Nothobranchius furzeri: one gene and its partners. The main gene of each other region encodes a partner of the protein of the gene in region 3 in a complex. Links are inferred from orthologs where the notes say so. Each region holds a gene or a part of one and is shown on either strand. Other genes may lie near its edges.

Region 1 (4,416 bases), about 22 Mb from region 3:
CCGCGTGTCACTTTGAAATAAAACTAGATTGTCATTACTTCTCAGAGCTTCATCAGCGGCTGCAATGGAATGAGACTGTGCCAGCTTCTGCAGCTTTGGCTTTGTGGTTTCTTTAAATACGCACATTTGAAATGTGTTTATTTTCCCTTATTCATAAGGAGTATATTAACAAATCAACCACTCTAAGAAAGAAATGTATTTTTTGCGATTTTTATTTAATTTGTTTGGTGCAAAAGTGGGTTATAATGTATTGTCAATTTATAATATTTTAAAAATATCTTGATATTAAGGTAATAAAATGTGTGATAATAAATTATATTGTTTCATTCAAACTCCTGCATAGGCTATGAATTATAATTTAAATAGTTTAGCTGATTTTTGTTTGTAATTTTTGTCACTTTAGTGCTGTCACGTTCTGATTAGGAGGAGTAGGACCCAATATGCAGAGCACCAGACGATATGAGGCAGGAGTTGATATAAAGTAAAAAATCCTTTTATTGTAGGATGAACCAAAATAAATCCAGAGGCATGGAGCCCAAAATCCAGAAATCCAAAAGCAGGAGAACAAAAGCTCAATTAGAGCACAAACTGGGGACTAGACAGGAAGCTCACACAGAGCACCAAAGAACAACGCTGACAAACAACAATGGACCGACAAGAACAATGAGACAATGAGGGCTTATATAGACTGGGAGGAGCAATTAGGGAAACAGGAAGCAGGTGTGTGGAGTGAGGCTGGAGGGAAGGCAGGTGACAACAGTTATCTGGATGGGGAAGAGAACCAGTGGAGGGCAGATAAACCTGACACTATATAAAACACAAAACTAAACCTAAAGACTAAGGGAAGGGCTCACACAAACACATACTGACACACACAAACTCATACACACGTACAATGAACTGGGGAACAAAAGGCTGGGGCTACAACTTAAGACACACAACAGAGATGCAGACAAAGAACACATGAGGGCGCTATGAGAACACAAAAGGAGAACCTGGAGTGGGAACTGGAGGAGCTGGGGAACAAAGGGACACAGAACATGACAAGTGCGTGCCTACATACAAATAAGCTCAACCAAGATGGCCAATCATTTCCCTTATCCTGGGAAACGATAGCCGGTGGACAGGTTTTTTCCTTCCCCTGAAGACCTGTCTGTTGAAATGGTTTTACAGAGCAGCTCTGACAAAAATCCAGAAATCATGAGCTAGGATTGTCTCTCTGACAGAAGCAAAAAGCAACAAGCGTCTTCCTTTTAAAAAGTTTTTACTCACTCATTTCAATTCACAAACCGAAAACACAATAAATAAATTAATTAAAATATAAATAATTAAGTAAGTAAATTTACTTTAAACTGCCGACATCTTTTTTCTTTATTTGTGAAGTTGTCTGATAACAAGACTCTTATATATATATATATATATATATATATATATATATATATATATATATATATATATATATATATATATATATATTGTATTTTAAAGAACATTTTCCAAAACGCCATGGAGTCATATGGGATCTAGTTATGGTTTGACATTTATTTTGTAACTTCACATCGCCTGCTGTTTTATTTTTGAAACCAGAAACCGGAAGTCCATGTTTCCGTCTGCTACCTTGACAACTTGTAACATAACGAGGCGCAGCTGCGGTACTCGAGACCGGGTCGAACAGCTCAGCACACAAATGGCCCCGGTGCTCGAGGAGTGAAGCATGGGCTCCGCGGCATCGCAGTCATGGCCGGATCCACCACCAGAACTACCGAGGACGGGGGTTCCCGTGTGACCGCCTCCACGGACCGCGCGGAGGTTCGGGACCTGGCCGAGCCCTGGGAGCTGTCCCTGGAGGAGGTGCTGAAGTCCTACGAGCAGCCCATCAACGAGGAGCAGGCATGGGCCGTGTGCTATCAGTGCTGCAGCGGACTCCGGGTGCCCCGCCCGCCGCCCGGGAGAGCCAGCCGGGTGAAGGACCCGTCCGCCATCCTCCTCCACAGAGATGGGACCGTTTCGTTACGGGAGGAACCCCGACGCGACGGTAGGACGGTTGCTCCAACTTCTCTCAGCTTTGATTGGTCTAAAAGCAAAGGTTTAATTCAACAGCGCTAGCTTCTTTTGTAAGTTTTCGCTTCAACTTTGACGTGTGCTAAACATGAAAGCTCACGTTTCTATTCGGCAAAGATCAACAACAAATGATCAGCTTGGTTTTATCTCAGGAACGAGTTTCCTTCAGCTACATCTACTGTTTCTGTGTGCCAGTTTCACTCTTTTAAAAGTGAACCGAGCTGTCAGGCTCAATGATATTAATGCGGAATTGAAGGGTCACTATCAGTGTCTCGAAAATACTTCAAATCCTGGTTAGTTTTTCAACAAGCTCAAAGTAAAAGCTGTTTCTTATTAAATTAAATAAATCCCACGTTGGGTTTGGCAGAGATGAACTAGAACTCCAGCGTCCTGCTGCATCCAGACCAACTTGGGTTTATTTACTGGGATTTTTTTTTTGAATAGGAGCACAGTTATTTTTACACAGAACATCTTTGTATCCGTTGATATAAATCGGTGTCTCCCTTCCAATGCCAGAGATGCCGGTAAATGATCAATTATTCAGAGGACAGCTTTAGCTGTGCTGGTGCAAGGACTGTTTTGGAGACTTCAAAGGATGAATGGAAGCCCAAAGGATTTCATGTAGTCTTCTTTTTATTTTATTGAATTCTCCATGACTGTACCATAAAAATCCTCCTGCGTTTGGATTGTTCATGACTCACTGCAGTCCTGGAACCTGCTTTATTTTTTATACTTGAGGACAAACTAGATGTGTCTTCAAATTGTGGCGCACTTATATCCACTTTTACTGCCTTAGGTGACTAATGTCTTAATTCCCTGAATCATTTTCTTTCTGTATTTTATTGTATAGTTGTAAATGTTTGAAGTATTTTTAATTGTGGTGTTGCCTCAGTAAAAACTTCAATTTTTGTCTTATTGACAAGTAGTCATAATAACTGGGTTTGTAGCGCCAAAGTCAGATTCACATTTAAGAATAAACATGTAGATTGTTATGATGATGCAAATTTTCCTCCCAAACTGGATCATAAATCAGAAAAATGCATTCCTTAAATAAATCCTAAACCATTTATATGCTTTAAAAATGTGAAGTCTTTGACATAACCCCATTAATTTATTAATTTTCTTTTAAGTCAGCTGTACATTCCTTGTTTTTCAAAAGAATTTTATTTCTTATTTTAGAGAGCTGAAACCAGAGGGGAGCAGGTGTGCTGGGATGAATACATTTGGGGAGCATTGTCTCCTTGGTGATGCTGTTTATTTATTTTTTATTCTTGTATTTTTTATGCTATTAGTTGAATATAATGTAGATTCTCTGTGATTTAGGGCACGGAAAATAGGATTTAATTCAGGAGAACTAGACTTTCGTGGTTTTTGGGATGCTCTCTTTAGAAAGGCAATATTAAAAGCAGCAACAGGATATTTTCTTTTCCTTTTCGCAGTTCATTTAATCTTAGAAGGACGCCTTTTGCACAGCTGAGGAAGAATAACAAATAATCAAATACTTTTAATGATGCAGAAAATAATCCACAGGTAAACTGAACCTTGCTGTGCAGGAATCAAATGAACGAAACACATTTTATTAGTCAGACAGATGAAATATTTAACAATTAAAACAGCATTCCAGCTGTCCAGGTTTCCTTTTTCCCATCGTCAGTCTGCTGTGAAATCACACATGACTGACCGTAAACACAGGCAGCTTTCGGATGCTGCTGACATCAGCTGTTCCACCGACTCTCCCTGCGAAGAGCACAAATCTGAGCGGAAACAGCCGCTGTAACGTGAACAAAGTGGAGGTGCTGCAGGAAGCTCCTCTGAGGACGAGCTGTTACGATGCCTTCATGAGAAGTGTTCATCAGCCCTCCACCATCTGGACCGCTCATCTTTTTCTGAATTTCATGGACAATCTTTATTTATTTATTTTTTGTGGCCAAAAGTACATTTGTGTTGGCAGATATTTTTGGTGACAGCTCATAACTCCTTCATTGATCCGCTCAAATGTTGAAACCAGTGTTCGGAGGAAGTGGATCCATCTTCTAGAAAATGTCTAAGACCTTTTTTAGAATCCAGGCTCCAAAACATTGGCTCATTTTCTAAAATCAATATTCATTTAATCCTTTTGCAATCATTTCAACACAACATTTCAATGAAATCTGTGTGATCTCCTGTTTTAACTCTGTAAGAGGACAGTAGTGCTTGTGCGGCGTGTGCAGGACTTTACGCCTTCTTAATACATTTATGACAGGTTATCTAATGGAAAAGTATCAAACTGCATTTATGACATCCTCACCGGTGCCCAAACCACCTCAACAGGCTCATTTTGATGTGGAGGAGCAGCAACTCCTCCTCCTGATGGTG
Region 2 (3,650 bases), on a different chromosome or scaffold from region 3:
CTGAGTCTTGTTGGTGACCATGTCCATCCCTTTGACCACATGGACCCATCTTCTACTTCCAGCAGGATCATGCACCATGTCACAAAGTTCACATCTTCCCCAACTGGTTTCTAGAACATGACCATGAGTTCACAGGTCTCCCAACGACCTTCAGATCTCAGACCAGTCCAGAACCTTTGGGACGTGGTGGCACCTCTAAACTTGGAACTTGGTGTTTAACAGGAAGTGAAAGTCTGCTGGTTTATGACTGGTGAGCTTTATTAAGATAAACTGATAACTTAAGTTATTGACACATTGTACAATTCATCGATCTGTACAAACATAAAAGCGTTGGTTTGGACCCATTTGGACCCGTTCTCACATTAACCTCCAACTAGGTGAAATGACATCATTTCATTACAGTCAGTTACAGAATCAACCAGATAAAAATCAAAACACTTCTTTAAAAAACAACAATGGAATCAACTGATCTGGATCAGAACTCATTCTCTGTCAACCAGCTGCTGGTTCTGGAGAGGTCAGGCTGGCGGTGCTGCGGGTCCAAACAACCAGCCAGGCTCACAAACTCCAGAGCTACCCTCTGTAACTAAACACAAACACTCAGGGGTTTGAGACATTAGCGAGGCATCGGTTTACAGACCGGACCGAACCGGGTCGGGTTGGACCGTGCACGGTTCTGACTACTTGATGACTGAATGACTATGTAAGGCGATATGAGGTGGAGCCGTGCGCTGTGTGGAAGTCAGAGGCAGCTCGGTGTATGTAGGCTTTATGTGACGGCACACGAGGATCGGGTCGGATCAGAACATGTGGGTCGATGGCGGCCAAGCAGCAGGAGGTACTGCGAATCAGCTCGACCGATTCCTCTAGTCTGGTTCTAAAACAGTGGTTCTGGTTCTGCTAAAAAATCTAATCTTTGACCAGAACAAAGTTACAGATGTTTAGTGCAGGAATCGGACCTCCGCGTGGGTCAGTCTTTATCTTTGCAAGCCAGCGGTTCTGTGGGTCAGAGGAATGTCATGAAGGGATTCACCTGTTCTGTTTAGGGTGGGATCAGAAACCCAATCAGGTCTGCTTTAGATCTGTGAAAATTAAATCGCTTTTGTTTGGGTTTCATCACATCTCAGCACAGGCATCGGAACCGGAACGTTCAGGAGTCCTGCCCTTGACCCAGATCCATGTCGTTTCCCAGCATGCAGTGCAGCAGAGCGATGGTCACTGCATGAGAAGCGGTGTATGGACAGCCGAAAAGGACAAAAATATACATATTCAAAAACGGCCCAAAAACTGTCCGATTTTAAAAATTGTTTTATTTTCATCAGATGTGTTTAATTATTTATCTTATTTATCTTTATATTTTGTGTTTATTTGTTCTGATTTCTGCTTTAATTTTATTCCCATTTCCTTTTGTGACGGAGTCTGTTCCTCAGAGCTGGCTCAGATCTCCTGACGAACAGAGATCCTGAAACGGAGCCAGAAAAGGACAGAAACACTTCCTGTTTAGCCTCTAAGCTACAAGGCTAGCTGCCTTGAGCTAAAATAACACAAAAGCTCCAAATCAGCTGTAGTTCTGACACCAGAACGGCCAACAGGCCTCGTCATATTTAAGCTCATGAAAATATAAAAGATAGGAGAAAATGAAAGAAAACATCAGATTTTCAAAAGTGCAATAATTTACTTAAAAGGTAAATTAAAAACAAAATACGGAAACAAATAAGAGCTCTAAATACACTGATAACAGAATGAAGTTTAAATTCATACAGAAGCATCGATAAACATTAATACTGTTTTGAGCCTTTTAAATGTATTTTTTATTGATTTTTGTCCATTTCAGGCCTCCGTAGACACCTGATGCAGAGGTGATGATAAAACCGAGTCACGCCCAAAGCGAACAGAATCACAGACATCAGATCGAACGGCGCTCGTGCGCTCGATACATCCACGTGGTTTCCAGACAGTACATTGCACTATAGGAGGGGGCGGGGCTATAATGACAGGAGACGAGTGGACAGAGGACTATGCTTCAGAGCGAATTCGATGTGCTTCAGATTTATATATTTATATATAGTAAGAAGATACGAGACGAGTCATTAAAAAAGTGGAGGAATGAAGGAGGGGAGCTAATCACATTCAGACGTTTCTGAGACGAGTCAGCGCTTCTACAGGAAGGAGATCTAACGAGGGAGGAAACGCCTGCTGTCCTGCAGTAGCCTAAAGACATGGGGCTTTGCTGGGGGGGGGGCACTTAGTCTTACAATGGGGGTGGGTGGTTAACTAAGGTGGGGCAGGTAGAGTTCAGGTTGCAGGTTTGACTCTGCGGTTTGATGTTTCCATACCGAAGCAGTCTGTTCTCTGGGGATGGGGCGGGGGTAGCAGCAGGTCCACGGCGGCGCTAGATGTTCTGACAGCACTGCATCTTTGGTTTGTTTTCAGTGGGCTGCACCTGGATGTTGACCACGTTGTTGCTAGGCGACATGTCGCTCTCCTGGCGCTCAGACATCTGCTTCTGGGACACAATGCGGTAAATCTCTGGAGGAGAAGAAGATTCAATCAGGAAGTTTCAGAAACATCTTCTGATCAGACTTTTAAAATGAAACTCCAGGTTGCCTCAAGTAGGCGTCACCAACTCCCGTCCTCGAGGGCTACCATCCCTGCGTTTCCTGCTCTACCAAAGGTGTCATCCGCATATAAATGTATATGAGAACAGGGTTTGGCATCGAGCATCGATTGGAACCGGTTCTAACTGTTAGTTTTTCCCGGAATCGTTTTTCTTTTTGATTCCTAGAATGCAGACGGAAGAGGAATCCGTGGCCTTTCTCCGTGAAAAATAAACGTGATCTGCAATTTGTGATCAACGCTTTTCAGAGCTGATCACACCAGCTGTCTGTGTGCAGCACCGAGCCCCCCGTACAATAACCTGTAGAATAATTAAAGTCATCATGCTAGAAAAGCTTCTCTGTGGTGGACCACACCAGCTTCTGCCACAATAAATAGTTATAATAATAATAAATAACATTTTTTATTTCCTTTTTGAACTATTTCTGTTGAGAGTTTTAATGTTTAAAATCTGTTAGATTGTTACTGACAGCAGCTACATTTAAGTTTCTGCTCTGACTGAATGCTGCTGCAGGTAGGAAAACAGCTGGACGTTTCTGGAGACATTTAGCCTCTCATCCCAGAGGCTTCTTCCAGACTTTGGTTGTGGTCAGAAACAAACACACTGGTTGTGCTGCAAGTCTTTTGGGGGCGACGGTGGCACAGGAGTTAAGTGCTCGCCCCGTAATCGGAAGGTTGCAGGTTCGAGCCCCGCTCAGTCTGTCACTGTCGTTGTGTCCTTGGGCAAGACACTTAACCCACGTTGCCTGCTGGTGGTGGTCGGAGGGACCGGTGGCGCCTGTGCTCGGCAGCCTCGCCTCTGTCAGTGCGCCCCAGGGCAGCTGTGGCTACATTGTAGCTCATCCCCACCAGTGTGTGAATGTGTGTGTGAATGGGTGAATGACTGATTGGTTGTAAAGCGCTTTGGGGCGTTCCAGGACTCTAAAAGGCACTGTATCAAATACAGGCCATTTACCATTTTTTTCTCTAAAACATGTTTTTGTCTAAATGAAGGTGATGTTGTTGTTCATAGAATTAAAATCCATGTTGAAGTT
Region 3 (3,650 bases):
GTCTAAAAACCTCCGCCAATAACACGTTTTAGACCGAAAGCGTCGGACCATCTAGTTGGCCGGTCTCGCCGAACCACTGCACTTCCTCCATTCCCAGGGTTTTCCATTCGTCACACACAAGCGTTTTTGCAACAGAACACCACTGGTGTGAAAGGTTATCAGCTCACATCAGAAAATGAGAAACAGCCGGCTGCTACCACTTTAGGACAAACTACCAGAGTCCCAAAAAGAAGGATGCCGTCTGTTTGTCACGTTAAAAAAGACATCTAGATCTAGAAAATGGGTACTGGTGTTTAGCACTAGTTTCCTCTGGTAATGTGGGTGTCTGGTTCTGGAAGAAGTGTCTTAGGGAAGATGCCTGAGGGGAGGGGGTGTAACGTGACTATGTTTGCGTTTAAAATCTAGCTTGTTCAGTAGATTTGCTATAGCAGCTTTAAAGTAACACTGAGCGGTTTCCTGCTCCTCTGCCCTACAGGTTGAAAGGGGAATTACAGCTGTTCACAACCTTGCTGCAACCTGCTGTAGCTAGTGCTAACAATGAGCAAACACTAACACGAGACAACTAATACTAAAATAAACCACAAAGTAAAACGATCCACACTGTTGGACAATAAACATTATTACTTACAATTCCAGTAGCAACAAAGCCAGGTCACTATCAGCCCTTGATTTTGTAGCCTCCTTTAGCTCCCTCAAACTAGTGTAGGCTGTGCTGATCTTCACTCTGGTTTTAGCTCTTTGATTTGCCTCCAAAGACATTACTCTCTTACTTCCAGGCTCTGCCATGATGGTAACAAAACAGCAAACATCTTTTTTTCTATTGAGGATTTGCAAACTGAAAAAGCTAACTGCTGCTAACTGCTAGCATACCAGCTAACAGCTGTAAAACAGGTAAAAAACGCCCCCAGGACACTCACCTGCTTCACAAAACTGTTAAGTGCAGTATCTGGCCAATAGAGGGTGACAGAGTTGTGTCAAATATGAAAATGGTCAAGTTTCTAACTCAATAATCATGTTAAAGCTCTAGCTTAAAGTCTAATAACTAGCTAGTGTTTAACTTATTTTCTCAGAGTTGCACCATTGCAATTAGAATACTGTCTTCTCAGAGCAGCAAGATAGGCTATCAATGTCCACATATAAGAGTAGAATTAAAACTCAGTGGTTACTACAACACCTATGAATGCATTATCTAATCTTATAAGCATGGATTACCTCCCATTACAAACAATACATTATAGGCTACAGAAATAATTTCTTGTCTCAAATGGAGACCAAAAACATTGTTCTTTCCTCCAAACAGATACTAAAACAGAATTGTATTAACTGATGTTTTCTGTGTTTTTTCAGGATGAAAGCATGTCTAAAGTGGACCTGCCAATCCTCCTCAAGCTTCAGAGAAGGGTAAAGGAACTAGAGGAGGAAAATCGATCACTTTGGCAGCAGCTGGATAAAAGAGAAGAAGCTCAACAGGAAAAGGCAAAAATTACAAACACCTGGGTTTTTTTTGCTGTAAAAACATTAAATGTTATGAATCTGTTTTTAGTTTTTAAAACTAAAAATTGGGTCATTGTCTGTTTTAAACAGGAGGTGGAGGAGCAAAAAACTGTTGGCACAACAGAACTGGACTTAGAAAAGATAAAGGTGAGACTTAAACAGCTGTTTACCATTAGAGATAACTTATCTGTGTCAACATGCTAAAAATGTCAAAAATGAAACCATTTCTTAATGCAGCGACACGAACTTGAGTCTGAGAACAAGAAACTGAAACAGGATCTAAATGAGCTTCGAAAGTCCCTCACCAGTGAGACCAGGGAGTTAGCACCTCCTGCTCCTGGTTCAGCGCCCTACAACCTTTTACTAGAGCAGCTCAATTCCTCCAATGAGGAGCTGGAGATGAGAAAAGAGGAGGTGCTGCTCCTCCGCTCACACATGGTCCGTCAAGAAGCTCTAAAACACAGGGTAAGAAAAAAAACAATCACATCTGCTTTAGTTTTTAATTTTTCTGAAAGAAATTACTGTTTGTGCTAAAATCTTCTGATAAATTAGACAATTACAGAGATGTTGATATAATTTTGTATTTTATGTCTAGGATTCTGTATTTAGAGAAGGTGTGAAGTTGGAACTGAATGAAATTCCTTCATTGCAGGATCATGAAAGGTGGGAAACTTGGTTTTAATTTTATTCCACTTGCTAGTGTTTTTTAAATTGCATTCTTGCGAGACGATCTTGATTATTGTTTAAATTATGCAACTTTCTGTACTTAAATGTTTCTATTTAGAATTTGATATTTTACTTCAGTGTCTATGGGTATGACATTATAACCAAATAGTTAAAACAATTGGTCTTCATTTTTGAGAGACAGAAAAAGCATGTGAAAGCCTCAAACTTGTCAGTAGCTTTTTAAACTCCCAACTAAATGTATAAACTGAAACAAGTAGATGTTTACATGGTGACATTTTCTCACAATGACACAATGCTCTGATTTTAAAGACGGCTTTTAAAAATGTTTTAGCTGCTCATCAGTTTGACGCTCCAGTTTCAGACATTTTTAACTTTTTCATCAGAGACTAGTGTGTTTGTGTTCATGTTCTGTTTGCTCTAGGTCCTCTAACATTCATACACTGAATGAAGATGGAGAGCTGTGGTTGGCTTATGAGGGTTTGAAAGAGACAAACAGGTATTGGTGTAGTGTTCTGTATTTAATGTGTTTAAACATATTCATGTTATGGGGACCTGAACCTTTAGCTTTCGTCCTGCAGACTTCTGGAGTGTCAGATGCAGGAGCAGGAGCGTCTTCACAATGAATCAAACGGGAAGCTTGTGGAGGAGATGAACAAACTGAGGGCTGAGAAGGAGCAGCAGCAGAAGCTGTTGGATCAAAGCCTCCTTCTGCCCGAGGACGCCCGGGTCGATGCAGCCCTGAAGCACGAGATCACACGTCTCACCTCTGAGAACCTGGTGGGTCTGGTCTACTGGGGTTTTATATCCAGGTCTTTTCAAAAAATGTGTATAAATAACTTTTTTTCTTGAATAATTTCAGGAACGAATGGAGCAACAGGAACATCAGGACAAAATCGTACGCAAATTAAAAAAACAGCTTAAATTGTACATGAAGAAGGTGGAAGAATATGAAGGTAATTCAGTGAAACTACATTTCTAGAGTCGTCGTGTTTTTGATGAAGACGCATCATTAATCCTGTTATTTTTAGCGAGTTCTCAGCAGATGAATACTTCCTCTGTGATGAGCACTCCCATCAGGCCGGTGAACATTCCCCGTAAGGAGAAGGAGTTCCAGGGTATGTTGGAGTTCAAGGAAGGAGACACAACCCGCTTGTTCAAGAATCTGATCATAGGTCAGTTTGTTTATAAATAACACACAACAATTAAAGTAGTTAGACTTTTTTTTACCCACTCAGTTTCTTTCTCTTCTCAGATCTGAAGCCTCGTGGTGCAGCAGTCAACTTTACCCCAGGGCTTCCTGCCTACATCCTCTTCATGTGCCTCCGTTATGTAGACAATGTGAATGACGACAAGAGAGTCATCTCTCTCCTGAACTCCACCATCAGCAGCATCAAAGGGGTCATAAAGGTGCAGGTTTTAGCTTTGGTCTTGCTATATAAAAGGACCCGTGTGCTTGTTATGTTCTGATC

The links.
Region 1: the proteins of unconventional myosin-Va (region 3) and spire2 are in contact, whole or in part, in a crystal structure (PDB 5JCY), measured with the Homo sapiens proteins. The link is inferred for Nothobranchius furzeri from reciprocal best matches to the Homo sapiens genes MYO5A and SPIRE2. Residues at the interface, in NP_001369276.1 of Homo sapiens: Asp1551, Val1554, Arg1555, Thr1559, Ile1562, Asn1563, Lys1566, Ser1597, Gly1598, Leu1615, Thr1616, Asn1617, Phe1618, Asp1619, Leu1620, Ala1621, Glu1622, Tyr1623, Val1626, Asp1629, Leu1630, Gln1633; in NP_115827.1 of Homo sapiens: Arg404, Pro405, Arg406, Val407, Leu408, Leu409, Lys410, Ala411, Pro412, Thr413, Leu414, Met417, Glu418, Met420.
Region 2: the proteins of unconventional myosin-Va (region 3) and rab11a are in contact, whole or in part, in a crystal structure (PDB 5JCZ), measured with the Homo sapiens proteins. The link is inferred for Nothobranchius furzeri from reciprocal best matches to the Homo sapiens genes MYO5A and RAB11A. Residues at the interface, in NP_001369276.1 of Homo sapiens: Ile1660, Gln1661, Trp1738, Met1742, Arg1745, Tyr1746, Ser1749, Gln1750, Glu1753, Arg1756, Gln1777, Gln1780, Val1781, Lys1782, Lys1784, Met1795, Glu1818; in NP_004654.1 of Homo sapiens: Arg33, Glu35, Ile44, Gly45, Val46, Glu47, Phe48, Ala49, Thr50, Gln63, Trp65, Gln70, Tyr73, Ala75, Ile76, Ala79, Arg82.

What each region holds. Positions count from the first base shown.
Region 1 is NC_091744.1:86,274,402-86,278,817, forward strand, and holds the start of spire2 (protein spire homolog 2), read left to right. Parts: upstream 1-1,538; 5' UTR 1,539-1,737; coding exon 1,738-2,035; intron 2,036-4,416. UniProt on the Homo sapiens protein: Acts as an actin nucleation factor, remains associated with the slow-growing pointed end of the new filament.
Region 2 is NC_091749.1:66,753,706-66,757,355, forward strand, and holds the end of rab11a (ras-related protein Rab-11A), read right to left. Parts: intron 2,530-3,650; coding exon 2,393-2,529; 3' UTR 238-2,392; downstream 1-237. UniProt on the Homo sapiens protein: The small GTPases Rab are key regulators of intracellular membrane trafficking, from the formation of transport vesicles to their fusion with membranes.
Region 3 is NC_091744.1:64,486,640-64,490,289, forward strand, and holds part of unconventional myosin-Va, read left to right. Parts: intron 1-1,347; coding exon 1,348-1,476; intron 1,477-1,584; coding exon 1,585-1,641; intron 1,642-1,731; coding exon 1,732-1,959; intron 1,960-2,089; coding exon 2,090-2,157; intron 2,158-2,602; coding exon 2,603-2,677; intron 2,678-2,759; coding exon 2,760-2,958; intron 2,959-3,040; coding exon 3,041-3,134; intron 3,135-3,209; coding exon 3,210-3,353; intron 3,354-3,433; coding exon 3,434-3,588; intron 3,589-3,650. UniProt on the Homo sapiens protein: Processive actin-based motor that can move in large steps approximating the 36-nm pseudo-repeat of the actin filament. Can hydrolyze ATP in the presence of actin, which is essential for its function as a motor protein. Involved in melanosome transport.